3 linked regions of the Notamacropus eugenii genome follow. The protein of the gene in region 2 interacts with the protein of the main gene of each other region in a pairwise test. Links are inferred from orthologs where the notes say so. Each region holds a gene or a part of one and is shown on either strand. Other genes may lie near its edges. The genes, in order: AKAP7, SPA17 and MYL6B.

Evidence for each region.
Region 1: the proteins of SPA17 (region 2) and AKAP7 interact in a two-hybrid assay, tested with the Homo sapiens proteins (3 studies listed by BioGRID and IntAct). The two-hybrid records come from large-scale screens. The link is inferred for Notamacropus eugenii from reciprocal best matches to the Homo sapiens genes SPA17 and AKAP7.
Region 3: the proteins of SPA17 (region 2) and MYL6B interact in binary tests that used the Homo sapiens proteins (3 or more experiments, as listed by UniProt). The two-hybrid records come from large-scale screens. The link is inferred for Notamacropus eugenii from reciprocal best matches to the Homo sapiens genes SPA17 and MYL6B.

The regions. Positions count from the first base shown.
Region 1 is NC_092873.1:215,992,233-216,002,191, reverse strand, and holds the start of AKAP7 (A-kinase anchoring protein 7), read right to left. Parts: upstream 4,616-9,959; 5' UTR 4,521-4,615; coding exon 3,842-4,520; intron 1-3,841. UniProt on the Homo sapiens protein: Probably targets cAMP-dependent protein kinase (PKA) to the cellular membrane or cytoskeletal structures.
Region 2 is NC_092876.1:171,509,285-171,519,896, forward strand, and holds the start of SPA17 (sperm surface protein Sp17), read left to right. Parts: upstream 1-5,667; 5' UTR 5,668-5,778; intron 5,779-5,798; exon of another isoform or gene 5,799-6,415; intron 6,416-6,941; 5' UTR 6,942-6,959; coding exon 6,960-7,113; intron 7,114-10,404; coding exon 10,405-10,502; intron 10,503-10,612. Other genes in the region: SIAE (sialate O-acetylesterase), read right to left, coding at 960-1,121, 5,409-5,484. UniProt on the Homo sapiens protein: Sperm surface zona pellucida binding protein. Helps to bind spermatozoa to the zona pellucida with high affinity. Might function in binding zona pellucida and carbohydrates.
Region 3 is NC_092874.1:231,419,738-231,429,963, forward strand, and holds the start of MYL6B (myosin light chain 6B), read left to right. Parts: upstream 1-5,785; 5' UTR 5,786-6,453; coding exon 6,454-6,630; coding exon of another isoform or gene 6,631-6,652; intron 6,653-7,501; coding exon 7,502-7,529; intron 7,530-7,786; coding exon 7,787-7,930; intron 7,931-8,812; coding exon 8,813-8,986; intron 8,987-9,686; coding exon 9,687-9,764; intron 9,765-9,927; coding exon 9,928-9,956; 3' UTR 9,957-9,965; intron 9,966-10,226. UniProt on the Homo sapiens protein: Regulatory light chain of myosin. Does not bind calcium.

The sequences.
Region 1 (9,959 bases), on a different chromosome or scaffold from region 2:
TTATACTGGGGATTCCTTTATCTATAGGTTCAACTAGATGTTGCTGACCCTAAATTCTCAAATCCTATGACTGTGATTATGAGCTGGTGAAACCAGCCAGCAGGAGCATACAGCATTACCTATGATTAATACTACAGACATGGATGAAGATCCAGCAAAGGAGACTGAGAAGTAACACTCAGACACGCAGAAAGAGAACCAGGAGTGGTGTCATAGTTAAGGGGGTAGAGGGAACAGGTGCCATGGTAGGCTTCAAGAGACAACAGAAATTACTTTCTTCACACAGGAGGTAGTTGACAAAACCTGAATTCAAAACCAGGTTGTCTGGCTCCAAATTCAGTGTTCTTCTCCCTATATCATGCTTTCTGTAAAACCAAAGACTTGGTATGGTTTAGACAGACAAAGCATAAGCATCATAGAGATAGGCAATGTGATTCTTTCAGAGAAACTAAATAATCAGCTTTTAAAAATCATACCTTGGAAGACAAATCTCAGTATTTCTTTTTCAGTATAAAATGAGGTTTGTAAAATATAGTTTTTTTTAAATAATTTAAAATATCTTAATAATTAGTCAATATAACCTAAATAAGATGTGGATCTTTCACCTTATGGCTCAAAGTAATAGTCAGTAAAATTATATAAATACACTTGAAAGCCCTACACTTAATAAAGCATGTTAAAAATTGCTGGCAGATATATACTGTTTGGTATTTCACTAAAACCCTATTGATACCAAATAAGAACAAAATGCATATGATGTCCCTTATCACACAAAAATGACAAATTTTATATAGGATGCTCCAAAGCTGAGATATTAAGACTTAAAACTAGCGTTTTGGGATACCCTGTATTTAAAAAGTCAAATGCAAGTTTCCTAAGCAAGTCACTCCACTAACAGTTCTATGAGAGATGTATAGGTTCATAAGAACCTTAAAATCATGTCGGACAACTCTCTCATTTATACATATGGAAACTGAGCTTCAGAACAAAGAGTGACTTGTTAGAAATAACAACTAGAATTTCAACAAAATGATGTTAACCGTATAGACTTTTAAACTTTGCAAAACTTTGTGATATTTAACAAGCCACTTAAAATCTCAGTTTCTTGGCTTCTTCATTTACAGAATGACACAAATACTATCAACTAATATACAAGGATGTTGCATGTATGGGGAGGAGAAAAAAAGGGAAGGAAATAAATACTTAGATAACACTTACTACATATGAAGCACTGTTCTATGTGCTTTTTCACAAATATTACCTCATTTAAGATCTATCCTGGGTGATAGGTGCTATTATTATGCCCATTTTATAGTTGGAGAAACTGAGGCAAACAGAAGTTAAGAGACTTGCCCAGAGTGGTGGTAGTGTTCAGGCATGTCCAAGTGTTCGTGATCCCCATTTCCAGTTTTCCTGGCAAAAATACTGGAATGGTTTGCCATTTCCTTCTCCAGCTCATTTTTCTACAAATGAGGAATTGAAGCAAACAGGATTAAGTGACTTACCCAGGTTCACACAGCTAGTAAATGGCTGAGATCACATTTGAACTCATTAAACTGAGTCTTCCTAATTCCAGGCCCAGCACGCTGCCACTTTACCGCCCAGGGTGACACAGCTTACTATTATCTAAGGCTGGATTTGAACACAGATCTCCCCAAGTCCATGCCCAATGCTCTAGCCACTAGAAAGTAAGTATGTTAGTATGGTGATAGTAGGACTGAGATGGCTAGGATATACCAGCGTAGATTCAACAGGATTTTATAACCAACTGAACCAAAGATAAATGAAAAGAAATAATAAATTATAACACCAAGTTTTTAAACACAGGAAACTGGATGAATCATGATGGCACTTAGAGAATAGTGAAGTTAAAAAAAAAAGTGGTTTTTTGGGGAAAGATACTAGCTTACTAGATCACATTTATTAGTAGTATAACCTGGATAAAGTCCTTTTTACTTTGTGGAGCCTCAATTTCTTATCTATAAACTTGGGGGGTTGTTTAGACCATCTTTCATACTCACCCAATTCCTAAGATTCTATGATTTTGTCTTACGCTTTGTTAACATTATTAATGGAGAGAAAGACTGAATAGGGTCCTAATTTTTCATAAAAAAATTTTTTAAAGCAATCATATCAACCACTATGAACTCATGCCTTTCCTTTCAATTTAATAGTCCCTTTTCTCTTTCCTTATGAAATAAAATCTCTCACTTTAAATAGACAACTTCAAAATAATCTCAAGTTGACATTACTCAATTCTGATTGCTACATTTCCTCCAGATTTTCATAGATTAATGTGCAAAAACACATTGTTTGATTTTGTGTTTTTTTGTCCTACAAATTCCTTAAGGATAAACATCCTCTTTTTCTATTTGTTTTATTCCTTCTTACAGCTCTGTCCCCTTGATTCTTATCTCCAAAGCTCTGCATTAGGTTCTACAAACAGTGGTCACTCAGTAAATAATGTTTGCTTCTAAAATTAGAAGCAGATCACTAGATTCACTGGATCTAGCATCTTAACAGTAAGATAAGGTTATTTCTAATCCCATAATATCATATTAAAGAGAAACAGCTCAGATTGTCTGAGTCCCAAATTTGCATTTTTACAAGGAAAAGAGCTGCAAAATTAAACAGCAAAGAAAAGAGGGTTGTTTCCTTTTTTTCATGTTTGCTATACAAATGCTTCATCTGTGGATCTTGCCATGAACTTTAGCCTAGAAACCAGAGAAAAGTACTGTGAAACAAAAGTGAAACTTAAGAGTCTGCATTTTGTTATGTGGCTGGGAGATTGTATGAATTTATATGCGTGATTGAACCCCTCCAGGCCTCAGTTTCCTCCACTGAAAAAGAGAAAGTGTTATGAGAGATGACCTCAAAAGTCCCTTGTGGGTCTAATTCTCAAAACAAAACCGTACAAATCTATGTTATCAAAATTCTACCGAGAAACAGAGGCACCTTAGTATAACAGAATTATTATATGAGGGCCATACTGCTGCATGTGCATTTTTTTTCCTTTTAACTGAGCTGTAAGGATTTGTCTGCTTCCCACAGCTCTGCGAATTCTTATTACCTCAAGAGGCAGCGTGTACCAGCGGAGAAAGCTAAGCCCTCTGGAGTCAGAGGACCTGGGTTCAAATACCCGCGTTGATACTTAGTAACTGACGAAGTGAAATGGATTAAACAAGGGCACTTTCTCATTTTGTTGGAAAGAAAATCGAGGCCAGGAAAGGAGGGATACCAAGCCTCAAAAGCAGGAATTTGAACTCCCAGGGTCAATGTCTTTTCCTCCACTCTACCATGCATTTCGGTGCAAAAAAGGAACAAGCTTATCAAGCCCATGATGTCACCGGTCCTCTCCAAAAAAGGACAAAGCAATACTGGTTTCTTGATCTGTAAAAGGAGGGGGTCTACTAGCCCAAGGCCCTCTTTTCCCGCCGTGGTAACTCTAATGTCCTAAAACGTTCTCTTGGCATTTACCGGGTCTGGGGGCACTGGGGGGGGGGGGTTCTCTCCTGTCTGCAGGTCCCCCACGGTTATCACACCCCTGGGGCTGGTCTCAGCGGGGGAGAAGGGGGTCTGTGCTCCTGACTGGAGTTCCCGAATGACTGGGAAGAGGGTGAGGACGCCTCCTCTTTGGAGGGGCCTCAAAGTCGGGGTGACGAGGGTGACACCACCACTCCGGCGCCTCCTCCTTCTCCTCCTCCCAACCCCAGGGTGGCCGAGAGCCCGAGGAGGGCGGGCCGGCGGAAAGCGTCGGGGACCGTGGGCCGCGCGGAGCCCCCGGCGGCGGCCTCGGCCCGGCGCCCACCCCTTGGCCCGGCATCGCCCTGCGGGCTCTCACCGTTTCCCGGGGGATCCATCTCCTGGGCCGACCTGAAGGACTCCTCCCCGGAGGCAGAGGAGGAGGAGAAAGCAGAGGCTGGCACCGCCCAGGCCCGCAGTAGCCCGCCCGGCTTCCCGGGCTCCGGAGCCCTAGGCAGCACGAGCCCTGGGGGCAGGAGGGCTGGGCCGCTACGGGCTGCGGGGACTGGGAAAAGGCAGAGGGGAGCGGGCAGGAGCGGAGGGGGAGACGGCGGCCAGGCACGGCAGGCCGCGCGGCCCGCACCGCCTCCTCCTCCCACCACGGCTCCGGCTCCTCTCGGTCCCCCGCGTCCGCGTGACTGCTGCAGCGGAGGCAGAGACGGAGCCGGCCCGGGCTGCGGGTCCGCTGGGGCAGCCCACGAGAAGCGGGCGGCTAGGCCCGCACGGCAGCGGCGGCAGCTCGGTGTCCCGCCGGCATGCAGCAGCAGCGCCCCGGGCCGGGGCGGGGGAGGCGGTGGCAGCACCAGCGCCACCAGCGGCGGTGGTGGAGGCGGCAGCAGCAGCAGCAGCAGCATGCCCCGGCTCGAGGGAGCGCGAGGGAGCCGCCGCAGCTCGGGCTCTGGCCCGGGACGGGGCCGCAGGAGCGCCCCGACTCCGCCAGGGGAGAGCCCCAGGGGCGGCCGCCGCTGCGGCGCAAACCCGGGCGGCCTGGGAAGCATAGAGAGGCGAGCGACGGAGAACGCCAGGTGCGCCGTCTCCTCCGAACGCGGCTCCGACTCCCCAGCGCCCCTCTGCGATTTCCTCGGTGGCCGGCTTTCCGGCCCCCCAAGGCCGGCAGACTGCTGCCCCGATGGGCCCCTCCTTCACCCACTCACTCCCCAAGGCGAGCGCCCTGCGCGAGTTTGCAGACACAGCTGAGAGAGAAGACACGTGCGGAAGATGGGAGGGAGGGGCTGGGGGAGGAGCAGGTGTGCTCGTGGGAAACTTGGGCGCTCGAGGGCATGGAACGTCCTGTGCCCCAGGCCCCGGGAATTCCGCGGGGAGGAGCGCGGGCACAGGGCGTCATGGGGCTTGGGCGGCGGGGCCAGGGGCTTTAACCACCCTGTGCAAGTGTGCTGGCCGCCCCTGGAGAGTGGAATGAAAGGAGAAAGCTAAGTGGACCAGAGTAACTGAGGCCAAGCCCAGCTTCGAAGTAGGGAATCCACTGATTTAGTTCTCTCTGCAAAGTGAAATAGACATCAGCTCTGGGAAGAAACAGTAGAACTTTTCTTTAATCCCCAGAGTAACAGTTACATAATAGCTTTAGTCAACTGCAAAAATAAAAACAAGACTAGGTAAATCCTTCCGCTAATTCGGCCAGCATGTTTAAACCTACTACGGTACCGAATACTGCTACAATTCCTTCAGCTCTCTAGTCCATACACCACAAACAGAAAACAAAAGAGGCTTTGGAGCATCCCCTCAACCTTCACTTATTTCACAATACAGGTGTTTCACAAATAGTGCACAGGAGGCACTGGAGTTTGGGGACTCCAGCCTCTAATAGGTTCACTCTTGATCTGGTCAAACAGGCGGACACCTTCAGAGGAGTTAATCTTGCTTTATTTAGTCTGGTCTAGTCTTCCCAGAAAGGTTGCTGATAATGGAAGAACCAGCTCCTACAGCATTCCCTTCTGGAAGGGGCTGGCAAGAAGAGGGGGCAACTACCTCTACTTCTCCATGGGGTCAGTGGAGACAGGCACAGCTTGTGTATGTACTCCCCTAAGTCCCCTTAAACTTCGATGACTTACCTGGTGGTTTCCCCCCAATCAACTGACCAGTGCCCACTTTCTTTATAGGTCAACGGACAAAGAAGGCATCTTGCCAACATCAAACTCACAGGTTATCTTTAGCAATATCTTCATTCTGTAGAAGCTTAGCAAATAGCAATTATGTCACCCCTTATCTCACAGGCAGCCTCAGTAGGACTGTCTGTCACTATGATTCTAGGAATTACTATCTAGGATCCTTGGGGCTATTCTGGGAGTTATTATCCAACACCTTGAAACCAGACATTGCCAGGGCCATGGATTCTAAAAAATTGAACTCTAAAAGGGATAACAAAATCCTCCTTACATACAACAGGGTATCCTAAAAGTCTTACTGCAATTTTAAGCTTTGACAGCTTAACTATACATCCTATTTCTTGTGCACCTGTTATGTGTCTGTGGAGGTATATAAAAAATGACGTTTGTATTTTGGTTTTTGGTTTTCTTAGACCTTATTTTTAAGAAACCAACAATCCATTTAGAACAAGGAGAAAGTGTTGGGTCCCATGATCTCTAAAGTCCTTTGTAACTCTTATGTTAGTATTTCTGTGAAATAGACAAATCACTGTGAGACTGATACCAGGCAGAACACCAAAAAGATACAAAATGATAAGGGAATTTACACTGCACTTATCTGGAAATATTGAATTTATTATCACTTGAACCAAGCATTTGTCATCACTTTAATACAGAGATAGGGATTGATTGGACTTGTGATTTCATTGATGAAGGTAATTCCTGGATGACAACTAAGAATCAGAAAACTGAAGTTATAGATTTAGAGCTTGGGGGGGAAGAGGAATTTCTTCAAGACCACAGTGTCTAAATGCTTCATTTTGCAGATGGGAAAAAAAGAAACAAAAAACCCTGGGCCCAGGGAAATCAAGAAACTAGGCTAGAGTCACACAGTAATACTTTAGGGAGGATTAGGAACTGCAGTCTTCCTGGTTCCAAATCCAGTCCTCTAACCATTTCATCAAGGTGCATCTCTGAAGAGTCTCTTTGAACTAGACCTTAAAGGATGGGTAGACTCTCTATAGGCAATAACCAAAATAGGGCAATTCCAGATGGAACTAATTGCACACATAAAACCATCTGAGTGCCATAGTTTTGGACGAGTTGGATAAATATCTCTTTAAGGTTTACAAAGCAATTTATATACCTCACTTCATTTGATCATTGCAAAAACCCAGTGAGCTGAATATGAGGAGTATTATCATTCCCATTTTACAGAGGAAGAAAACCAGTGCTATAAGACTTTCCCAGAGTCACACAGCTAGTTAATGTAAGAGATAGGTTTCAAACCCAGTTTTTACCTCATTCCATGGCTGGCATTCTTTCTGCCAATATAGAGGAGGGAAGGCAAGGAATATATTGTGGGAAAGTTGGTGATCCATTATGACTGTTGAATAGAAGTGCAGGTCCTGCCTATTTTTAGGTCCGGTGTTTTAGTGCCTTCCATGTAACAAACTCTTAATAAATGTTAAGTGAATAGTAAGATAAAGCTATAAAACTATGTTGGGGCCAGAGTATAGAGGGCCCTAATTGTCATTCAATTCCAAGGACTTAATTCCATAGGCAGAATAGAGCCACTGAAGTTTTTTGAGTAAAGGCTTGCCATGATCAGAGATATACTCTAAGGAAGAGTAATTTCAGATGGACTAAAAGTGAGGAGGTAACTGAAACTGTTGTTTATGTCTGACTCTTAGTTTTAGAGTTTTCTTGGCAAAGGTACTAAAGTGATTTTCCATTTCCCTCTCCAGCTCATTTTACAGATGAAGAAACTTAGGCAAAACAGGGTTAAATGACTTGCCTAGGATCATACAGCTAGTAAGTTGTTTCAGCAAGGACCCTGACGTACACAGAAGGGCCTGCTGTACAGGTTTTTAGATCTGCTTTTCTAAAAGGAAAGCAGCTTTTGAGAGGTCAACAATCACTTTAATCAAGTGCATGTCATTCACTTAGTTCAGGGGAAAAAGTCAGCACCTTGAACTTCAAAGAAAATACAAAGAAATAATAATCAATAGACAGGGCTTCCAACTATCTGACTGTAAGCAATACATACATCACAGATCAATAGACAGATCAAAATTTCTGACCATACATACATACATAGTTACCAGAGAGAGAAGCACCAACATCTGGGTTTTCAAAGCTGGAGCTCCTTAGCTACTGCCCAGTCTTATCTGGCCAAACACTTTCAATGAGTAAGCCCAAAGTAAAACCTCACCTCAGAGTATTTATACACTTTCAGAGCTGGAAGGCAGGACCCTCTGACCCACTGCCTCAACAGAAATTAACAAATGGTACTTGAGGCCTATTAATGGGTGGGGAAGATCTAATGAGCATTACATAAGTGTCAGAGGTTGAATTTGAGCTCAGGTCTTCCTGACTCCAGGGTCAGATACTTTATCCAGTTGGCCAACTAACTGCCAAAAACGAAATAGAGAACTCTACAGAAGAGTTGACAACTGCAGTTGTCCACTTAAGGCCATGAAATCTGGACTAAGATTGTAGCAATAGGAATAGAAAAGAGTAGACAGATATTTTAAGGAGACAAATCAACATTTTATATCTGTTCTCTCATTTGATCCTCACAACATTGTGAAATAGGGGCTATTATTATCCCCATTTTGCAGATAAGGACACTGGGGCTATGAGACAGTAAATGACTTTCTTAGCAAGTGAAAGGCTCCAAGCTGTTGATGCTTTCCACAATGTGATACTACCTCCTTTTCAGAGCACAACATGGGGAAAAATTCCATTTAAAATCCAGAAAAAAATTCTATGTTGCTGTTTCCATGGAATGGTAGAATCATCTGGTTCAACCTACACCTCTAGAGCATGAATCTACCCCTTCTACAACATCCTCCAGAGCTGGTCACTATAACTCCACTTCAAGGACGCTGACATCAATTTTGGACATCTCTGTTAGGAAGTCTTTCCTCAAGTTAAGTTGAAATTTTCCTTTCTACATCTTCTACAAATATAGAAATTCTGTCTTTGAGACTAAGTGTAATAAATCCAACCCTTTATCGGCAACCCCTCAACTATTTGAAGACACTTGCCATGGCAACTATGGTCTTATCTAAATTATGGATACAAATGTTAATATTCACAACTTTTAGGTTATTTTTTCAAATGAGGATCCATTCATAACAGCAATCCATTCTGCATTTTTATTTTGCTTTTTTTGTAAAGTAGCATAGAATCATGGTTTAGAGGTGGAAAGAATTTTAGAGATCGCCAAGTCCAATCATGATAAATGATCCATATGGCCACAAAAGGTTTATAAACAAAACAGTTCATTTTGCTGGCCTCTACCTTTCTTCAAAAGACACCTTCTTTGAAAGAACACCAGATAGGAAAATTTTAAGTCTAGGGAATAAAATTAATTATAAGCTTAGTCTTATTAACTTGGGCCTTTGAAAATCAGATGGTAGAATTTTTAACATCACTTAGTTCTATTTTGACAATAAATAATCAATCACATTTGTAATAGTATTTTCTAAAATACTTTCTTCACAATCACCCTATGAAGTAAGTAATTGCAAGTAATATTATCCCTATTTTAAGCTAAAATCTTCCAATGGATTTCTGATCTTACTGATACAAGTATTCCTGACAATGTTGCAGATTTCAATCTGTCTGTTTCTACCCATCCCATGTGATCCTTCTCCATATCTTTCCATGGGTTTGCCCTAAGAGTACACTCAGTGTTCCTGGGACTTTCTTTGCTTTCTTTTGGCAACATGAGGATACCCATGAAGCCCAATGAGAGACTGCCAGGCAATGATCCCTCACTCTACTCCTATAACCAACACATCTTTTTCATTTATGCATTTCTTCAATGATTCCTTTCCTGCATTACAAATAAGGAAACTGAGGCACAAATTAATCATCAAGGTCACATAGTAACTATTAGAGCTTAGGTTTTCTGACTCCAAGACCATGTTCCACTATCCCACTGTTACTATAGTGTCACCTGGCATAATAAAAAGCAGATTATATTTTGCCAAAGATTTGTAACTTGAAAAAAATGGCCATTGCTATCCTCTTCTTTCTCCTAGTTGTCTCTATCAACCTCTTAATTAATTTATTTTTGCTACCAAATTTGTATTTGTAATCAGACATCATGGATGGCATATTAGAGAGAAGGTATGTCTTTTTCTTCCCCAACACACCCAATTTCTATTTTGTTTCAGGACTAGTTCATCATTTACTTTGGGACCTTGAAATTTTGAAAAAAGAAAAAAGAAAAACCCTGTGCTATCCATTGTCCTTTCTGGGAGGTTCCTACGTTATATGGTGCTTTATCTAGCCCCTCTTCTTGTATAAGAGGTCTCAGCA
Region 2 (10,612 bases):
CAAAATTTTTCATTGCATGCCACTTAAATACACAAAGAATCATGAAGTCCTAGCACGAGAATGTTCGCCTAGATGAGAGGTTCTCAAACTTTCTGTAAAGGACCCCTTTACACTCTTAAAATTACTTAGGACCCTCTAAAGAGCTTTTGTTTGGGGGGGATTATATTTACCAATATTGACTGTTTGGGAAATTAAAATGCCTTAGTATTATTACAAAAAATAATTTTGACCTCACAAGATCCCCTGAGTCCACTGACCACACGAGGACCACTGACCTAGTCCAAGGTTTCTTAACTTTTTTTCTGTCCTCCAGCAGTCTGGTGAAGCCTAAAGACTCTCAGAATAATGTTTTTAAAAGCATAAAATAAAATACATAGGAAACCAAAAGTTACTGAAAATAACGATGTGATTTTTTTTCTCATTCAAGTTTATAGATTCCTTGAAATCTATTCACAGATGTCTTCAGGGTACATGGAGTCAATTTAAGAACTCCTGATCTAGTCCATCTCATAGATAAATGTCTTCTACAGCACTCCTCCAAAATGGTTATTTACCTTCTGCTTTAACACCCCCAATGACTAGAAACTCATGTTCTCCTGAGGAAGTCTACTCCATTCAAGCATTAAGGACTATCACATTCCCACATAATCTAAACTCCTGTGTCACTTGGTACAGCCTCCCCATCTGCCCCACCTTGTACGCATCCCTAACAATATGACTTCCCCAACATTCACCTGACCTAGCACCAACTGTGAGTTTCTTCATGTTCTAGTTTTCTGATCTTTCCTTCGCAAACTATTTGTGTAGTTTATATGTATATGCTCCTTACAGAAAATGCTACCACAAATTCCAGCATTACCTTTGGCCCCTGTTTGCAATGGAGCTCAAGCATTCATTTTCAGGTAATCCAGCAGATGGCAGAAGAGGACAGATGCTGAACTGAAAAGGGGTTGCCTTACCTTTCACATAGGTTATCTTCTTCATGATGGTTTCCTGAGCTTGGCGCAGAGTCACTATCACAATGCCTCCAACTTTACCATAACCCCAGACCACAGCTCCAGCTGGTTCTTTCTGCAACACCATGTGATCACCAATGTAGGAAGCAAAACGAAAATTAACACCTAGGAGGCAGAATAATTCCATTAGAGAGATTACAACCTAAAAAAGCAGATAAACAATGAGAATAGATATTTAATCCCACAATCTCATACTTATTCCTCCTAACAAGTAAATAGCCTAACCGGAATATGTATCAACACAATACATCAAATGCAGGTGAGCAATGTTGAATTCCCAAAGAGTCCACTGCCATCCAGGCATCTTCCTACCCTCATTCCATTCAGTTTACAGCTTGCTTTACCCCCTTACTCTCTATGCTTCTATGCTGAAAGAATGCCTCTTTTTCCTACCACTAATTGTCTCCTGTTACATACTTACAAATGGGAATTTATAAATGCCTTCTCCTAATCTCTCCTACATTATCTAAGGTTTCTGACACCCCCAGTGACTGAGTCTAGATGTCAGAGACAAATGCTTTATTCATTGTTTTATTCCTCCACAGCACCAAGCAAAATTTCTGAGCTTAATAAATATGTATTGAATTAGCAAACTAAAGAAGTATACATTTATCCAATGTGTTCCTTTCTTCTGGTTTTTCTCTTTTCTATGTTTGCTCTTTACCAATGATGAACTTTCCTCAAACTATTCACTATGACTTCTTGACATGCTGGGGGTCCTGAAGTGATCACTCCTAAGCATTTATAGATGTCTGTCAGAGAAACTATCTTAAAGTATTATCTTAATGGTAAATATAGAGACTGAGGCAAAGATGAAGTCTGAGAGAAAAAGTATGACCACAAATCCTTAGTATAAATTCACTATTTCCCAAAATTAAACTGACAAAAGGACAAAAAAGAATGTAGTTGAAAATGTAGATTCTGTCCTAGAGATTCACTAACAAGACCGAACAAAAAACTCGCTTTAACAAGACAATTCCTATTTTTTAACACTAAGCCTATATTGAAGTGTTTTATTAATAACAAATTTACAATCTAAATCATCTCAGTAATATGTCCATCAAAATGCAGCTAGAAATAGTACTTTGTTAAGTCACATTCTAATCATTACGCGAGAATAAAGATATTGATATTTTGTGACCTAAAGACAAATGATGAACAGGAGAGATCAGAATTAAATGAAGATGGAATTTTCCTTTCCAGGAGCTACAAATAATCTTGCAAGGTTCTTTAGATGATACCTATTGCAGTATCACAGTCAAAGCAGTCACCCACATACTCTGAGTGGACAGTCACTCTCAGCAACAGCCCAATCATTAAGGTCTCTCCTATTTATAATGAACCAACCTAATCCTATAGGGCTGCTGGGCTAGGGACAGTTAGCAAAATGCACCAAGAACAGAATACAATATCCCAGTGATTGCATAACCATATAGGCAGTTTGCCAAAAGTAAGGCATATGTGTGGGAGGTCCTTGTCTGGGGTAGGTGCTTCATACTGAACAGAAATGATAACCAGGAGCAGAGGAGTTAGGTGGGGAGAAAAGGAGTGAATTTGGGGGAGATGAAATACAAAAGAACACTTGCTGCGTATAAGCCCAAAGAAGAAACTCAGCAAAGAAATGAGAGCAAGTTGTAACACAAAGGCAGAAGAGAGCTTTCCAACTCAATCCATCATCATCAACAAACTTTTTTGAGTACAATCATGCACAACTCTGCAACAGATCTGAGAATCATTAAATTCATAGAGCAAGGGAGAACTTTAAAAATTATCTACCTTTCATTTGATAATGTGAAAACTGAGGCCCAGAGAAGTCATGTGACTTGCCTGAGGTCACAAAACCATAGGTCATGGCAAAGAAAGAAACCCAGGTTACAGAACACTTTCCAGTTCACTGCTCTTCTCAAGGGCACCACACTCTATATCCTGAGGTAAATAAAGGAGACAACATTCCTTGTCTTCAAGGAGTTCAGATTCTAAAACTGACACATGACAAAGGCACATGGAGGAACATTACCATGGTTAATTCCTTTATTTTTAACTTCTTCTCTTTGTATCCCTAGCCTTTCTTTCTTTATATCCCGTGGTGCCTTGCACATTTTTTTTTCAGACTTGTGAATTTCATTGTGTGAAGAATTCCAAGTTAGGAAACACTATCAATGCACATCTACAGCTGTTCAGCACTTTAGAATCCAGAGTTATCCGAGGTACTAAAAAGTTAGTTGACTTGCCCAGGATTCTCATGATTGATATGTGTCAGAGGAAGAGCTTGAACCCAGGATGTCCTAACAAACATCCAAACTGGTCTTCCATCCATTACACCACATTGCCTCTCACCTTGCAACATAATAGGGCTCTTAATTACGATCTCTATGCAAATGAATCATAGATTCATATATCCAGCCCCAGTATCTCTCCAGAGTTTATTGCAGTCTATCAGCCATTTTAAAATGGGTGCCTCCAGGATACCGCACACTCAACATTTCCAAATTAAACTTATTAGCTTCCCCCCAAACCTACTCCTCTCTCAAACTTTTCCTGCTTTCTGTTGAAAGTAGCACCATAACATATAAAACCTGGGAGTTATCTTTGATTCCTCACTGTTTCTCATCCCACGTAGACAATCAGTTGTCAAATCTTGACATTTAAGCCTCCCCATCTCTGGAGAATCCATCTCCCCTTCTCTCTACTCACATAGCCACCACTCTAGTTCAGACTTTCATCATCTTTTTGCCTATGCTATAGTAATGACTTTTTAATTAATTGGTCTCTCTCTCTGCCTTAAGTCCCTCCCTATCCATTCTCTACATATCTGCCTTTCCTAAAACGAATATGTGACCATGTCTCTCCCCTATTCAGTCAATTCCAATGATTCCCTATTGCATCAAAGATAAAATATAAACTCCTATGTTTAACTTTTAAAGCCCTTCAAAACCTGGCCCCAACCTCTTTCTAGACTATATATTACTTCTCTTGTCAGACTCTAAGATCTAGCTGTGCTAGCTTCTTTGCTCTTTGTAATTAGCAGTTAACCTAGAGAGTTGATATCATGCTTCACATATATCTCTCAAATCAGGTTAAGAGATATCAGGGACTTTTTGCCCCACGCACAGTTGGTGACAGGATTGTTTGTCCTTACTAGGCCAGGAATACCTAATCCCTCTCCCCCCAGGGGATCTTCACATAGCATTCATTCTTCCATTTTCCCACCTTTGTATCAGCGATCTCCCATTTGTAGAATGTACTTTCTACCCTCCCTTGCATCAGAGAATCCCTCACTTCCTTTAAGACACAGATCAAGCCCCATCTTCTATACAGTTTATCTTGAGCTCCTCAGTTTAAACGTCCTACCTCCCTAACTGCCTTGTTTTTTATCTACTTTGTTACATACATTCATTCTCTCTATATTTATATTACATGCTGTCCTCCCTGAGAGTATGGAGTGTTTATGTTTGTATCCTCAGCAAGTACAGACGAACCTGGCACCCAGTAGGTACCTAATAAATGTTCCTCGATTGATGCTTTTTTGATTACCCAGGATCTGGACAGAAATAAGAAGACATTCTTACAATAGGGCTTTTTTTTATTGCTGTCAAATGCATATACTCAAAAAAGCCCTCCCCAACATTTCTATTATTTGCAACTTTTTTAAGTTTTTTCTTCTTTTCTCGTGGGGTTGGCAGTAGAAAGCATGAAGTGCTGTCTTCAACTGGACTGAGGGAGAAGGGGGAGATAAAGGGGAGAAGATAACATGTAAAATAGCGATAACTGAAAGAAAAATAAAGACGGAGGCGAAGTAAGAGGCCAGACGAGAAAGAGAGGAACAGAGTCCTGATCAATCCCTCATGAGGGGAGTGCCCTTTTCCCTGGGGTCTTTAGTTCCAGGGGCCTCGGCACTGCTCCCAGGGCAGAGTTAAGCGGCCACGGACGCGACTCAGGCCCATCTTACTCATAAAAAGGAGGGGACTGACACCGCAGGACAGGACCAGATGCCGAGCTCCCCAGTCATCCAGGTTAGGTACCACTGGGCCCCAAGTCCCGCGTGCGCCTGGATGTTCTGGGCTTGTGGCAGGCAGGCTCCGTTTGTCAGCTCCCCAGGAGCCTCGCAGAGGCAAAAGTCACTCCTGACGGACGGGGGGAGGGGGCGAAGTTTTACCCAGCTACCACCAACCCTGGAAATGCAGTGGTCAGGGGTCCGCTACTACCCACGAAAGCCTGCGATCACCAGCGCCTCCTCCCAGGCCGGCCCTCAGCGGCCCCTTCAGGTCAAGGCCGGGGAAGGGCCTTCTCAACCCTTCTGGCCCCGGCGGAGGGCCGGGCCTGCGGAGGAGGCTCCGGGAGCCGCAGCGGGCCGAGGGCCAAGGCCAGGCCCCGGCCCGGCCCCCACCTCACCTGCTCCGCCGCCCCCGCAGGCCCCCAAGAGCCACGGCAACAATAGCAGCGCCCGCAGGCCCGAGGCCCCCGTCATAGTTCCCAGGCACCCAGGATATGCCCCTCAGGGTTTGGGGCGGGGACAGTGTGAGGCTCGGGGCGGAGACGGTGAGGTTGGCTGGGGCGGGGCTTAGATGAGGGCGGGGCCCAGCCCCACCCCAGCCTCTTTCATCTTCAGTACATGAAGCGGCTGGTGGCTCTGCCAGTAGATCGAATCTAAGCTTTTTGCTCCGTTCGGCCGCCGTAGACAAGGAATCTGCCGGAAAACGGTTACCCGGCAACGAGAAGAAACAACCGGAACCATCGGCACCGGCAGCCGGAGAAAGGAGAGGTAAGGACGGGAGCCCATCTACTCCGTCTCCGCGACTGTCGGCCGCTTTTTCCCCCTTTCCCCTGCTCCCTTTTGGCGAGCTCCCCGGAACCCTCAAGGCGACTGCTCCCTACACCCGGGGACCCATACGGCTCCCCGAGAATCGGAGACCACCCCAGTAGCGACTCCCAGCCCCCCGGAGAGGGTCGCCTCTGGCTCGGCCTGGAGGATCAGGGGCCGGCCCCATAGCTCCTTTGGCCCCCCCCAAGCCCCATCTCTCAGCCTGGCCCAAGATCTCATCACGACCCCCGAACTTCCACCTTCCCTCCGCCACACCTCCTTCCCCTCGGGCCCAGTTCACACCCTCCTTTCCCATTCTCCGAGGCCGCAGCCCTTCTCCCCGAGGTCCCCCTTCTCCCCGGCCTAAGCGACCAAGGCCTTAAGTGGCCTTGCCACCCCCTGGGACCCACCCTGGAGATTCACGCCCTCTAAAGCTGATGTAAACTTTTACTGCAAGATAGGAGAACTGGCCAAGACAAAGCCAACAAATATAAGAACTCCAAAGCCTCTGAGATTTAAGGACTTTGTTTCACCCCCAGGAATGGCAGCTTAGCACATCTAGAGAGGGACATGACCCCCCTGTGCAGAGATAGATGAGGTAAAGATGGAATTTGAGGCTATGTCATCACTTGGGCCATGATGTGATGGAGGGCCTCTAAATTTATACTAGTTCTTGAGCAAAATTTGCCTAAAGGTTTTTATTTACAGACAAGACCATCTCTACATCTTCCCTGAAGGAAGGACACTATAATCATAATATTTAATTAACCTAATGGTTTACCTTAACATAACATCTCTGGGAAGTACAGAAGTATCTGGTATGATTTTTCCCATGTAGATCCAAATAAATTAAAATACATAGTTTAAGAAGGCTTTACATCAAATTATCCACATATTTGTTGTAGAAATAAAGGATTTGGCCCACTCAATGGGCCATTGTTCCCTTACTATCAAAGGAAAGCCTACAACTTTTTGAAGGTATAGATGAGCCTGAGATTGTGCTCAAGAAAAGTTGAAGTAGAGAAGTATTTGTCTATCAGAAATCATTTACTTTAGCATTTTAATTGTGCAAATGAAGTCCTGAAATGAACTCAGTGCTCTTTAATAATCTCTGTGTACAATAGGCAGTTCCTTCCAAAGAGATGTCGATTCCATTCTCCAATACGCATTACCGAATTCCACAAGGATTTGGGAATCTTCTCGAAGGGCTGACACGGGAGATTCTGAGGGAGCAGCCGGACAATATTCCAGCTTTTGCAGCAGCATATTTTGAAAACCTACTAGAAAAAAGAGAGAGTAAGCTTAAAATGGGCTTTTTAAAGTGTTTTGGTTTTTTTAAGTTAAAGAATAATTATTTGATTTTCAATGAAATTTGCTTAAGGAAACCTATCAATAAGTCTGTTTTGACAGGTGACATTCAAAAACAAGTTTTTGGTATTTGATACAGTAATCAAAAATATATGACTTTTAGGTAGATGCCCTTCCAATAGAAGAAATTTATTTCTTCCATGAGTTTCACTGTTTTCTATTATACTAATTCTAACCTGTTTCTTTTTGTCCTTCATAATTGGCCTTTCAAGGACTTATTTAGCAAGACAGGATCTCTCCAGCATATTCATTCTGCTCCTCGGTTTTCAAGCACCTTTTAACTCAATAATTGGCTGTCTGTCCTATTTCTTAAAAATCTCCATGGAAGAAATTCCTTGAACTCCCAAACATATCCAAATATTTTTCACTTAAAAGTAGTATTCTGTAAGAGGGAATTCTACATAGTTTAAATTAAATGGTGCATAATTGTGCTTTCCTAGGATCCCACACCAAAAATGATTACTTTGCTTTATAAAGGAAACTGTCCAACTCTGTAATGGTGGCAATTTTGTTTCTATTCTCCATTGTACCCTCCCCTCTTCCCCCCACACTCTCAAGGCCTTATTCCTGCCCAGAGACAGGGATTTGCCTTTTCAGCCAGTGACTAGTTGAGAAAAAAGTCACACAACGTATTTCACTTCTACCTTCAGAATTCTCCAAGTCATAACACATTTAAGTTAGTAGGATCATTTACCCAAGACTGCAAGTAACCAAAACAGGAAGGTAAGTGGCAAAGTGGCCAGAGGACTAGGCCTGAGGTCAGAAAAGTCATCTTCCTGAGTTGATATGTGATCTCAGGCTTGAAATGTCCAATAGCTGTGTGACTCTGGACAAGTTCCTTAAGTAAGTATGCCTCAGTTTCTCTTCTATAAAATAAGCTGGAAAAGGAAATGGCAAACCACTTCAGCATCTTTGCAGAGAATATCACAAATGGGGTCCCAAAGACTTGGACATAACTAAAAACAACCAAACACCACCACTATCCAAAATTGATTGGTAGGAGCTGAAAGTTATACTAAAGCCTAATCCTACCTGAGACAAGATCTCTTTTTAAGCTACACCAATTAATGATACTCATCCAACAATGGGGTAAGGTGACTGGAAAAACCCACATTTCACATGACTCTTGTTCATTTTAAAGAGAAAGGGAGAATACCTTCTCTGAGACTGGTATAATTCAAACAGCATCTCTCCCACACTAAATATAGTTCAAAATTTTGCCCTTTCCCAGCATTGTTAGGAACCTCTGCCCAGCCCTTTTTTCCTGTACATTTCCGATCATTTCAGCATCTAATTATTATGACTAGGTCATGACCTAACAGATTTAGCTACCTTCCAATACTTTGATATATTCTCTAGGGAAAAAGATGAGAAATTCTAGACTTTGGGCTAAGATATAAAGTATTATGAGCAGTAATTTAATTATGTCAATACAACATTAATTTTGTAAGTTAAAGCAATGCAGAAACTTTATTCATTTTGTAATTTTAGAACTCATTAACTTTTCACTATATAAATATTGAGTCACGATTTCCAGAGCACAGTAATTAAAGCAACCCCAGATTTATGGTCTCTTGGTACTAGTCTTCCAACTAATACTACTTAAATACTTCCAGCTTCTACTGATGCAGATCACAGACCCTCTAGATCTTAATAGATTGTTTCATGAGTTGCTATGACTGAAAAGAAATAATCAGCTGGTGACCAACACACTGTGGTGATATGCCTCTTTGAATTCAGTTAGACTGGCACCTTATGCTTTACTGACATGGAATTTCAGAACCAAGGGTCACCTCCTCACCATGCTATCATCAGAATAGAGCTCAAGTGGACTAATAAAAGCCCACGTCCACCATATATAAATTGTCTACCCTTTTCCATGTGCTTGAAAAAAATTATAATTTTTTTAAAAATGGAGTAAAGAGATAAGTACTTTCCAGATGAAAGAGAACCTCTTAAAGAATCACATAAAAAAAGAAACAAATGATCAAAAATGGCTGCTCTAACAGATTTAACTGATTCCAAATCTGAACTACTTTCTTTCTATCCCCTTCTCTTTCTTTTCTCCCTTACTTTCATCTCTTTTTATACCCAACTTTCTCCTTGCCATGTTACACTGGAAAAAAGAAAACCTCTCCTAATCTCTCTGAAAAAAATACTTTTTAAGGCTGTTCTGTATTGTGAGGTTATTATTAGAGGATATTGTATGCTTATGTCCATTTCTTTGTATGTCTTTTGGACTGACCCTGTGATTTCATTGGTATACCCAATGAGGAAATTCCCTCTTACCAGTGTAGACAACATTTAGAATTCCTTGGGGAATTATTGAAAACAGTAGATGATTTGCCCAGTCATACCTCCAGTGTGTGTAAGAAGTAGGATTGAATCCAGCCCTTATTGGCTTCGAGGCCAGCTCTCTACTCACTATGTCAACATGCCTCACAAGGACACTTCCAGTGTAATAATAGTAATTTTTACATCATAATTTGCAACATAAATTACTCAAGCATTTATAGGACTGTATTTTTATCTGTCATATAGAAATTCATGGAAACAATAGAAATTTAATGATAACATTAAACACCAAGATCCCCAGAGAGTCATCTTAGGGATCTCTCCCTCTAAATAAAAGTTTAGCTGAAGCAGTATGGAAGGGTACATCTCTCTTCTTCCTCTTTAGGCATTAACCCAATTATCAGCTTCTCTGTATTGATCATCTTTGTTTTTCATTTTTCTCCTTATCTTATTTTGACTCCTGCCCCATCTTTCCCCCACTGTGTAAAATTATTATCTCCCCACTATGACAATATTAGGTGGCACAGTAAAGAAGCCAGGTGGGGTGTTAGTAGCCAGTGTGTTGTACTTAGGTAGATTTGTATTGAAATCCTGCCTCAGAAACATACTATCTGTGTGACTCTGGAAGAGTCACTTTAATATCCCTCTCCACCTCATTTTGCTTATCTATAAAGTGAGGTCAATAATAGTACCTGTCTCAGATCAAAAGAGACGACATACAAATAGTGCTTTGCAAACCTTAACGCACTATATACTTCCTAACTAGTATTATTATTACTATAAACAGATATCACCTCTTGTGCTAGGCACTACGTCAATGTGTTTTTGGTTAGCAGTAAAATAACTAATTTATCAAGAGTTTGCTTTTGCTGTATTCTGAGTTTATCTGGATAAGCCCACAATACTTTTTAATTTCTTTTTCAGAAACCAATTTTGATCCAGCAGAATGGGGGGCTAAGATAGATGACCGCTTCTACAACAACCATGCTTTCAAGGTACCATCTGGTGCTACTGAATCTAAGGTCAGTGGTTCTGTCTGTTCTCCTATAGAAGTCTAAATAGATAGGACTAGTTTCTCTCAAGAATTACAAAATGCATCACAGATAGCTCAACAAATGAGATATTTTAAATG
Region 3 (10,226 bases), on a different chromosome or scaffold from region 2:
AATGATAGATGTGGCCTGGCTTAGAGGACAGAGAGCCAGCCCTAAAGTCAGGAGGACCTGGGTTCAGGTTCTGTCTCTGTCTCATATTAGTGGTGGGATTCCGGGCACTTTGCCTACTTCTTAGTGCCCCAGGGAACTTTCTAAGAAAGTAAATTTCAGAGCAGACACAGGAAGGAGTTTCTGAGAATTCTCAAAATGGTGAAATCAAAGGTTCTTTCCAAAATAAAACTGTCATAGTTTGTTGAACTTTATAATTTGCAAAGTGGGGAGTGGAGGGTTTGAAGAAATTAGTTCATTTAACACAATAACTCTGTGTGGGTAGGGTTTATTATTATCTTCAGACTGAGATCCAGGATTATATAGCTAAGTAGGGAGGGGGTAACGTGTGTGTATGTTTTGTGTGCCCATGAAGAACATGTGTGCATATGAGTGTGCATAGATGTGGCTTACAGGAAGGCATGAGTGTCGACCTCTAGAGTCTCCTCCACTCATCCTTTTCCAAGAGAGACTTTGATCCCTTCCAGAAAAGGAAGCAGGGGGTTGGGGCCAGAGAGTAACCATTCTGTCCTCCTCAGAGAATGGAGTGCTTATCTAGAATTATATCTATCCATCCCCTTAAATATTGTTAACCTGTTGTTGGTGAGTCATATTTCAGTCACGTCTGACTTTTCATGACTCCACTTGGGTCTTCTTGGCAAGGATGCAAGAGTGGTTTGCCATTTCCTTCTCCAGTTCATTTTACTGTTGAGGAATTAAGACAACCAGCGTCAAGTGACTTGCCCAGTGTCACACAGCTAGTAAGTGTCTGAGGCTAAATTTGAACTCAGGAAGAGGACTCCAGGACCAGCACTCTATCCACTTTACCACTTAGCTGCCCTATGATTAGTCAAGAGGAAGTAATTTTTAGGTTCAAGACGAGCTTTATTTCTTAATGAATAAAGAGTCCCCCAAGCTATATATCCAAGGCTTGATTTACTTCCTACAAAATGCCTGCTCCACAAAGAATACTTGTAGTGAATAGCGAATGAACCCATTTAACCAAACAGATAACAAACAGAAACCAGAGAAAGTATACATATGTACCAGACAATATACAGAGGAATGAGCTCTCCCATTGGGAGTAAGATATCTCAGCTTAACCAAGAAAGAGTTCCAGATCTCTCTCTGTCTCTCTGTCTCTGTCTCTGTCTCTGTCTCTGTCTCTCTGTCTCTCTCTGTCTCTCTCTGTCTCTCTGTCTCTCTCTCTCTCTCTCTCTCTCTCCCTTCTCTCTCATACATCACCTACTCCACAGTGGGAAATTCCCCAAAGTTGCAATAAAGTAAATTGTGTATAGGAACATAATCAAGGTGCTGTTCACCTTTTCCCAAAATCTTTCTTTCCCTCTGGGGACCTGAAAAGGGTCTGGGTCTGCATCGTCTCTCTTGAAACTGGAAACTAGAAACTAAGATCTCTTTTCTCCCAGGCGCTCATCATTTCTACTCCTCACTCAGTTGTGGAACATTGAGTTATCAATCTCCGCCAATGAGGAGAGTCTTATGCAAATGAGTTTTGAACCTGAGTTACCAAAGTTACCTAATATGAGGCAGGATTCAAATTGGTCTTCCTGACTTAAAGCCCAGCATGCTATGTGCTACAGGAGGAGACTGTCCAGACAAATCACTGGCCTGGGAGCTAGGGAAAGTAGGAATTCAAACCTGTGTCCTCTAATTCCAAATATTTTGCCCTTTTCACTATTCCACCTGAGCTACTTCTCAAGATGGGCAAGAGTTTGGTGAGGGTGGGGGACAGGGAAGGAAGAATTTGAGACTCCCATCCCCTCATATAGAGCTGTGTGGCCTTGCTCATGTCACCTAACCTCAGGTTGACCTTAGATGGTCTCAGCTCTGAATGTATGATCCTAAAAAAAAGTCCTTTCCAGCTCTTGATCCTATGACTAAGCTTCATTCTGAAACTGTAGTAGCCCCTATCCTGGGACACTGCTTTTGGCTGGGACTTGGCGCCAACTTTACTGGCCACTCTGGAAAGTCTTTCCTGAAGTCTAACTTCCTTCCCTCTAGCAGTACCTTCAGTCTTTTCCCTCTCAAAGGTTTCTCTCACCTCCAACCTAGAGGGAACTCACCCAATCTAAGTGGGAGCCCTGCTGGGGTTTGGGGGAGACCATGGAAGTAAGGTAGTGATACTCCTTGGAAATTAAGACCCCTGGGGAGCCAGCGCACTAAACGTTTAAGTCAGTGGTATCTCAAGTATGTGGAAGACAACTCACTAGGCTGTGGGAAGAAAATACCAGAACTTAGGAGCAGCTCAGCTGTGCCATGAGCTTGTAGATCCTACTGGCTTTGGGGACTTTACATCCTCCCTTTCCCAGGGAGGGAACAGTCAAACATCTGCATTCCTGGGCAAGCAGGCAGGTAGGCAGATAGGTATTTCCCACCTGGATGCAGGCTGAGTTTACTCTTAGCTAGAAAATCAGCCAGGGTCCTACCCACATCTACCAGCAGGTTCAGTTCATCTCTATCCTCCCTTCCTAGCCCTGGCTATAGCAGCAGCTGTGGGCTCCTCATATGTTTCCTGACCTGAATACGCACCACTCCAGGACCCTGGGGTCTAGGCTTCAAAGAAAGAACCTGATTCCTCAAAAATAGGTATCCCTACAAAATGGATAGCTAGGTAATTCAGTGGGTAGAGCCTTGGGCCTGGAGTCAGGAAGACCATAGTTCATATCTGGCCTTAGACACTTACAAACTTTGTGACCCTCTATTTTCCTTAATCCACTGGAGAAGGAAATGGCAAACCATTCCAGTATCTTTGCCAAGAAAACCTCATGGACAGTGCTGATGTGCTATGGTCCACAGTTCACAAAAGAGTTGGACACAACTGAGCAATAACAACAGAATGGATAGTCAGGCAGCCAGGCTAGGGGTAGGGGAATGTTTTCAGAGAATGTTAACTCCTGGCTGCTCACCTTAACTTTCTGCCCCTAGTCCACCCCTGAGCACACATGCACCTACTCATAAGAGAGATTGCACAGGAGCAGACACAGAAAGTATAGGATCAAGGAGCAGGTAGCACCAATAACCAATGGTGGCAGCTGCCTGTGCACTCAGGAATCAAGCACTGGAGTACCAGTCTTGGATCTGCAGTTCTTCTCCCATCAAGACCCTCCCCGAGACCACTGTATGCCATAATACAGCTTGGAAGCAAATGAAGAAGCCCTATAGGAGACTTTTGCCCTCTCCCTGCCCCTGCCCCCTTCTCCCCTACCAGGAAGAGTTATAAGAACCTTACCACTAGAGACCATGTCCTTCCCCCAACCCATTAGGGAAAATGGAAATCTACTGGTTGAATTTCATTATCAGCAACAACAATCCTTTACATAATTGGTGGATTGTATTGAAAAATGAACACTGATTCAGGAAGCAACTCACATTACACTTTTTCCATTGGCATCATTGTATCATTGTGAAATGTCTTTTCAGTTGTAACCAAGTAAAAACGTAGCAAAGTGATGAGACGGATAGCCTTTTGGACCTAGAATAAAGAAGATCTAAGCTGATACTCTTTCTCAAACACTTAGTGGCTATGTGACCTTGGGCAAGTCCCTTGAGCTCTCTAAACTTGATTCCTCATTCTAGCACTTACTTCATAGAGTTGTTAGAAGGATTCAGTAAGATAAAACCATATGTATGAAAGCTTTACAAACCTTAAAGTGCTATATCTGTATTTACTATTATTATGAAGAGATAAAGTAAATTTAGAACCAGACCTTGAAAACCACTATATTACTAAGAGGAAGAACTGTGTTTGGATTTTGTTTTGTTTTGTTTTTTAATATCCCCAGCATTTAGCATAGTACCTGGAACAGGAGTGAGGGATCTTTGGCTTCAAGACCACACGTAGCCCTCTAGGTCCTCGAGATTAGCCTTGGATTCAGTCAAAGGGCTCTATTTGAGTTCCTAGAGGGCCACATGTGGCCTCAAGGCCACTGGGGAGTCAGTAACCTGACCTGGAACATAGTAGGTGCTTAATAAGTATTTGTTGATTGACTATTAGATCAAAATTTTAAAAAGAAATGAAGTTCAATCACATTACTCTCACTAAAATGATCATAATACATAAATAATTTTTTAAAAAGTTGGTTATTTGATATTTATCTCATTCTTGAACAACTCCTGTTCTTTTTGAAGGTTTCATTATGTATAGACTATTAGTAAGGCAGTGGATATATATTATGTATAAGTAAGTATACATATATGAGGGTATATTCAAATTTTTTTGCATAAGACAGGTGATCAAAAAAGTGTGAAGACCAACTGTTTAAAGGTTTAAATGCTGAAAGTCTGCAACTATGCTTTCAGCAACCATTTTAAGAGAAAAGAACTACATTTTCCATGAGGTCCAGACATAGGCTGAGACTACCACTCCCAGAATCCTTTGGGGATGGGCAGGCTCAGAATTAACCCATAAGTGGTCTTATCAGAACCACTCAGTGACATAGGCAATTTAAATTTAAGGGTGGCGTTTGGCTCTGTGGCTAGGACTAGATTAGATTGAATCAATCATTTCCTTGAATCCATCAGAGTTATTGTGTGGGAGACTGGGTTACACCCTTTACTCACCTTTGCACTAGCTTTAATCTGCTTTTGATGAATAGAGAATCTGACGCTTAGGAGAAGGGAAGTAACTCAGGCAACAGAGCTGGGAAAACTTGGTGGTATGGTGGAAAGCACTGAATTTGGAGGTAACAGACATGAGCTGAAATCCTGACTCTGACACTGGTCAGTTGTGTGCCCTTGAGCAAGTCATTTAGTTTTCTGGGCTGATTTTCCCTTGTGTAGCCCCACTTACTGGTAAGCCAGTTTGATGGCACTTGTACTCTTCCACTTCAGTTGTGGACTCACTTTGGAGGACCTGGGTTCAGTCCTGTGGGAGCCTGGTCTTTTTTCAGAGAGGAGTCATGATCTTTTTGTCACACTCTTTCTTTCCACCCCCAAACCGAGAGCCTAAGGGGAACTCTCTTAAAACTTGGGTTTGGCCCATGTCTAGAGTCTCCCCAAAATATGAAATGGAAAGATACTCAATAGATATAGGACAGCTATTTATTTCCTCCACAAAAAAAAATATGCTAAAAATACAGAAGATTCCAGCCTGCGCTCGAATTCGAGATTTGACCTTTTGGACCTCTGTTAGTATTAGATCTGAGGGAATTCAAACATAGATTCTTGATGGTATCCTTCTCTGAACTATAGTCTCAGAGGTGACCATTTCAGGATTTCTCCATCTACTTTTTAGAGTTACCTTAGTTTCCTTATCTAAAACATGATGAATTTTCAACTGAACCTTGTTACTCTCCCCATCTCTTTCCCTCTCCCTTGGATCCCATAGGGATCAATACCTGCAGCACAGACCTAGGTGAGGGTGGAAGTCCATGTTGCCCCTGTGTCTGGTTCTGGCCAGCCTGGAGTCAGGGGGTAGGGTAGGGTAGGGTTGAAACTGGTGTGTGAGAAATGAATAATGGGGAGGCTCATTAGGATTTCATTCTTGGGTTCACTCAGGGATGGAGAATTAGCCTTTCTTCCTGACTCAGGACCCTGCTACAGCCTCTTGGCACCAGAAGTCGTTCCAGACCCTTTTCTGTAATACCAAGGCTTGAGTGTATGTTAACTTTGACCTCCATCTGCCTTTGCCGGCCAAGGGGATAGTGTGTTGGAGCACAAAGCCCAGCCTCCCACACTGTCCTTTCTTTATCCTATTTCCCTCCCTCCCAATTTGCTCCTTACCATATGTGGTTCTGGAGCCGGGTAGGGGCAGGAGTGTAAACAGCTGGGATTAGGGGTGATGGATACTGATACCCCACTTCCAATAGCCTGATCCTTGAAAAGGACTTTGGGGAGGGGGAGGAAGTGAGTCATAACTTCACCCTCAACTGTGAATTCTTCCCTCCTCCCAGATGCATCCCACTCCTAGTCTGCAAGAGATTAAGATTTCAGGGGGAGAAAATGTTTCTCCCAGAGGAGAGGGGGTGCAGGGGTTGAAATGTGTGAGTTCTCTTCTGCCTTAGCCTTTCCTCTATCTGTGACTATAAATCTGAGATACCATGGTCCTCTCTGTTGGAGTGATTCCTGCTCACCCAAGGGTGAGACTTTTCATCTAGGCACCCAGTTCCCCATCACCCCCATTCCCTTATTCTCAGAGGGGGCAGTAACTTGGTAAAATGCCTTGGGAAATGTGGGCAGAAAGACAGAGACCTTGGGGCAGGAGGCCCAGAGTGAGGGAGGCAGGAGAGGTAGAGGGCAGGCAGGCTACTTTGTCTTTGTCTTTCTCCTCCACCTCACCCCCCCCACCCCAGTCTGGTCTCTGCTCCCGCCCCCTTGATATCCCATACTACTCCCTGGCTATTTAAACTGAGTGCCCCCTCCGGGCACTGTTCTTGTGCCCGTCATCCATCATTCACCATGGCTCCCAAAAAAGACGCCCCTGTGAAGAGGCCATTGGGACCTGCTGCCCCCAAACCTGCTGCCAAGCCAGCCGTTGCCCCTCCAGGGAAGCCCAAGCCTGAACCAGCTGCTCCCCCTGCCTCAGCAGCTCCCACCAAACCCCAGGAGTCCCCCATTGACCTCTCCAAAGTGGTGGTGAGTCTCTCAGCCCACAAGGGTCAAGATGAAGGGAGGGGGGCAGGGATGGGAGAATGGGGAGGCTTCTTTAGGAGGAAAGGATTTGGAGAAATGATGAATGGTATAAAGGGGCATGGAGATGGGATAGGGGAAATGGGGGAGGAGCTAATGGAGCTGCTATAATGATGTGAGGATTGCCTTAGCCCCTCCCATAACAAACCCAGAAGCCAGATACTAAGTCTATAGAATGGGGTTAGCAGGGCTCTGAGGCCAGGCACCCCAATTCTGCTGTTCCCATGTTCACTTTTCCCCTCTTGCCGCGTCAATGTGGCATATAATGGCACCCCTGTACACCTTGAATGGAGAACAGGGATGTGGGGAACACAAGAATCTGGGAACAGAGATGCTCAGCTCCTTGGGACTGTTTCACAAGAGAGAGAAAGAAGGGGCCAGTGTCCATCAGAGGGTGGACTCTTCAGGGCCTAGGAAAAGAGGCTGAAAGAGAGGGAAAGAGCCTGCTGCTCTGAGAAGGGAGGGTGGGGAGGGGGACTTGTTAGACAATCACAGCTGGGGGTGTGGGGGTAAATTTAGCTTTTGTTCAACTGCCGGTTATGTGAGGGATGCAGGGTTGGGAGAGCCAGGGGGAGGGGAACAGGTGGTGCTGGATTAGCCTTGTTTCCCAGGAAGGTCTCCCTCCCACATACCCGCTGCTAGTATTCTCCTAAGGCTTGGAGCTGGGAATGGGACTCAGGCGCTCTTAGCTCTCAGCTGGGTCCCTTTGGGCCACTCCACAGAGGCTGCCAATTATAAGGGATGGGGGAGGGGGTCTGGCCTGGACTGGGGGTTTCATGGCACCCCACCCCTCTTCACACTGTCTTTTCCTTCACAGATCGAGTTTAACAAGGACCAACTGGAGGGTGAGGAGACCATAACCACCCACCCCCACCCTGCTATCCTAAATCCCTTGTCACAGTCTTGTCTTTCTGTCTCCCTATGTCTTTCTCTCTCTCTTTCTCTTTTTTTTACAGCCCCAGAGCTGCCCTCCACATTAGTTCTGTCCTCAGAATTTCTTCCTCCTGCTGTATTCTACCTTAGTCCACTATTCTGAGCCCTGCTTCCAACCTGGGGATAGAGGGAACCCTTTGGCTAACCCCAATTCCCTCCCCATTCCCAGACTTCAAAGAGGCCTTCCAGCTGTTTGACCGAATAGGAGATGGGAAGATCTTGTACAATCAGTGTGGGGATGTGATGCGGGCCCTGGGCCAGAACCCCACCAATGCTGAGGTGCTCAAGGTTCTGGGTCACCCAAAGAATGATGGTGAGACTGCAGGAATTATGAGCCATAACAGGGAGGATGGTAGCAGGACAAAAAAAGAAATGATGACCAAGGGCTCACAAGTTGTTGTTAAGTACTCTAAGAGTGAGTTGAGTGGGGCTGGTCTGGGTACCCTTACAGGTAATACTGGAGGTGGGGATGGTTCTTTGCCATAGGTAGGGATTTTGTAGAAGCAATTCGGTTCAGATAGGGGTTGGACTAGATTCAGGGGTGGGGAACCTTTGGCCTCAAGGCCACATGTGGCCTTCTAGGTCCTCAGGTGTGGTCCTTTGACTGAATTCAAACTGGATTGTGTTTATGATAATAAAATGTAAGGGATTAATGAAAAACAGACAGACAAACTGGAAAGTGACAGAACTGGCTAAGGTTCATAATTATTAGCTCAAATGAATTGATGAATGTCACTTTGTCATGGGTGTTCAGCCATTCCAGTCATGTCTGACTCTTTGTGACCCCATTTGGGGTTTTCTTGGCAAAGATACTGGAGAGGTTTTCTATTAATGTTCAACTAGGCAGAAGCCAGAAAAGACCCTTAAAAAGATAAGACAAAAGTATTACTAAAAGATGAGAATAGCAGTGACTCCTCCAAATATAGTTTAATGACATATTCATATACCGTATATAAAAGATTTATAATGTGTCATAAAACACAATCTACATGCACGTACAGTAAAATTCTATTTGCTAAAAAAAAACAAACCAAACAACAAACAACCAGATAGAACTAGAATGATACAGATGGGTTAAATGGGATGGTTCTAATGGAACTATCTACTGGCTAGAGATCCCAAGTAATGAGGGTTGGATAGAGGAGTCCTAGGAAGGGGTCACTTAGCACACTCTATCCCCCCCACCCCTCCTCAGAGCTGAACTCCAAACGTGTGGACTTTGAGACCTTCCTGCCCATGCTCCAATCAGTGGCTAAAAGCCGGGACCAAGGCACATATGAAGACTATGTTGAAGGACTTCGAGTGTTTGATAAGGAAGGGAATGGTACAGTCATGGGGGCTGAACTCCGACACGTCCTCACTACCCTGGGTAAGATTGTAAAAAAGATGGCTCATGAGTGGAGGAGAAGTTCACTTGAGATTAAAGGGTAAGATCCCAGATTTTTGGAACTGAACAAGGGAAGAGAACAAGGTGCAGCCCAGGTGCAGGCGTGGGCTTCATGGTCATTGTGGAGGGTAGGTATGTTATGGGAAAGAGGAAGGCAGGGCAGGCATGGCAATTGGAAGTGGCCATTTCAGTCCAGTCTAGGCAAGGAATGACATTTCCTGGAAGGGACATATTTAAAGAAGCAAGAATAGTTAGGAAAGTAGCCAAATTGGGGAAGACCCCAAACTCCAGGGAGCAAGACCTAGGAAATTTCTTAATGTTCTGACAACCTGAAGTGTAGTGGGAAAGTGATGAATCAGAAGACACAGCCTCCAATTCTTCTGCCACTGATTGGCTGGGTGGCTTTGAGAGAGTCACTTTCATCTTTTGTCCTGGAGACAATGAAACCTGGGCTTCCTAGGTATTCTGCTAGCATGAGTGAAGTCATTTTGAAGAAAAGCAAGGTATCGATAAATTTGTAATAGGGGGCATGGGACTGGGGAGGAAGGAGGAAAAGGAAAGGAGAGAGAAGGCTAAGATGCCTCTGTTTGGGGGACTAGATGAGGAAGTACCACTCCTAAATAGTATGGCTGAAGTTGGGGTGGGAGGGAATAGGTTCCAAGTTTATCTGCTTCTGCTATAGGAGAGAAAATGACAGAGGAAGAGGTAGAAACCCTCCTGGCTGGACACGAAGACAGCAATGGTTGCATCAACTATGAGGGTGAGAGGGTGGGGAGGAGTGGAAGTAAGAGGTTTGGAGAGTATGTGTGTGAGTTGGGAGAGGCAGTCGTCCTGGGGAGTGGAGAAATCATCTATACTCCAAGGAGGGAGGGCAGAGCAGGGGTGCATGGTTCTGACCCCCCTCTTTCATCTTCCTTTGGCAGCCTTCCTGAAACACATTATGTCAAGCTGAGGCCCCAAGGTAGAGTGATTCCCCAGCCCAGCCCAGCCCTATCTCCTCAGCTCCATCCCTACCTTTTGGGGGCTTTGGAAGCATTAAGATACCCTGGAAATATCATTGAATATGGACTCAAGCCCTTGGGTTCAGATGTCATCTCTGCTATGAAGGGCTTGCATGGTCGTGTCATTTCATTCCCATAAACCTGTTTCCTCCTCCGTAAAATGAATGACATTTACTCTGTCAGTCTCTCAGGGTTGTTGTGAGAACCAACTATTAGTAGGT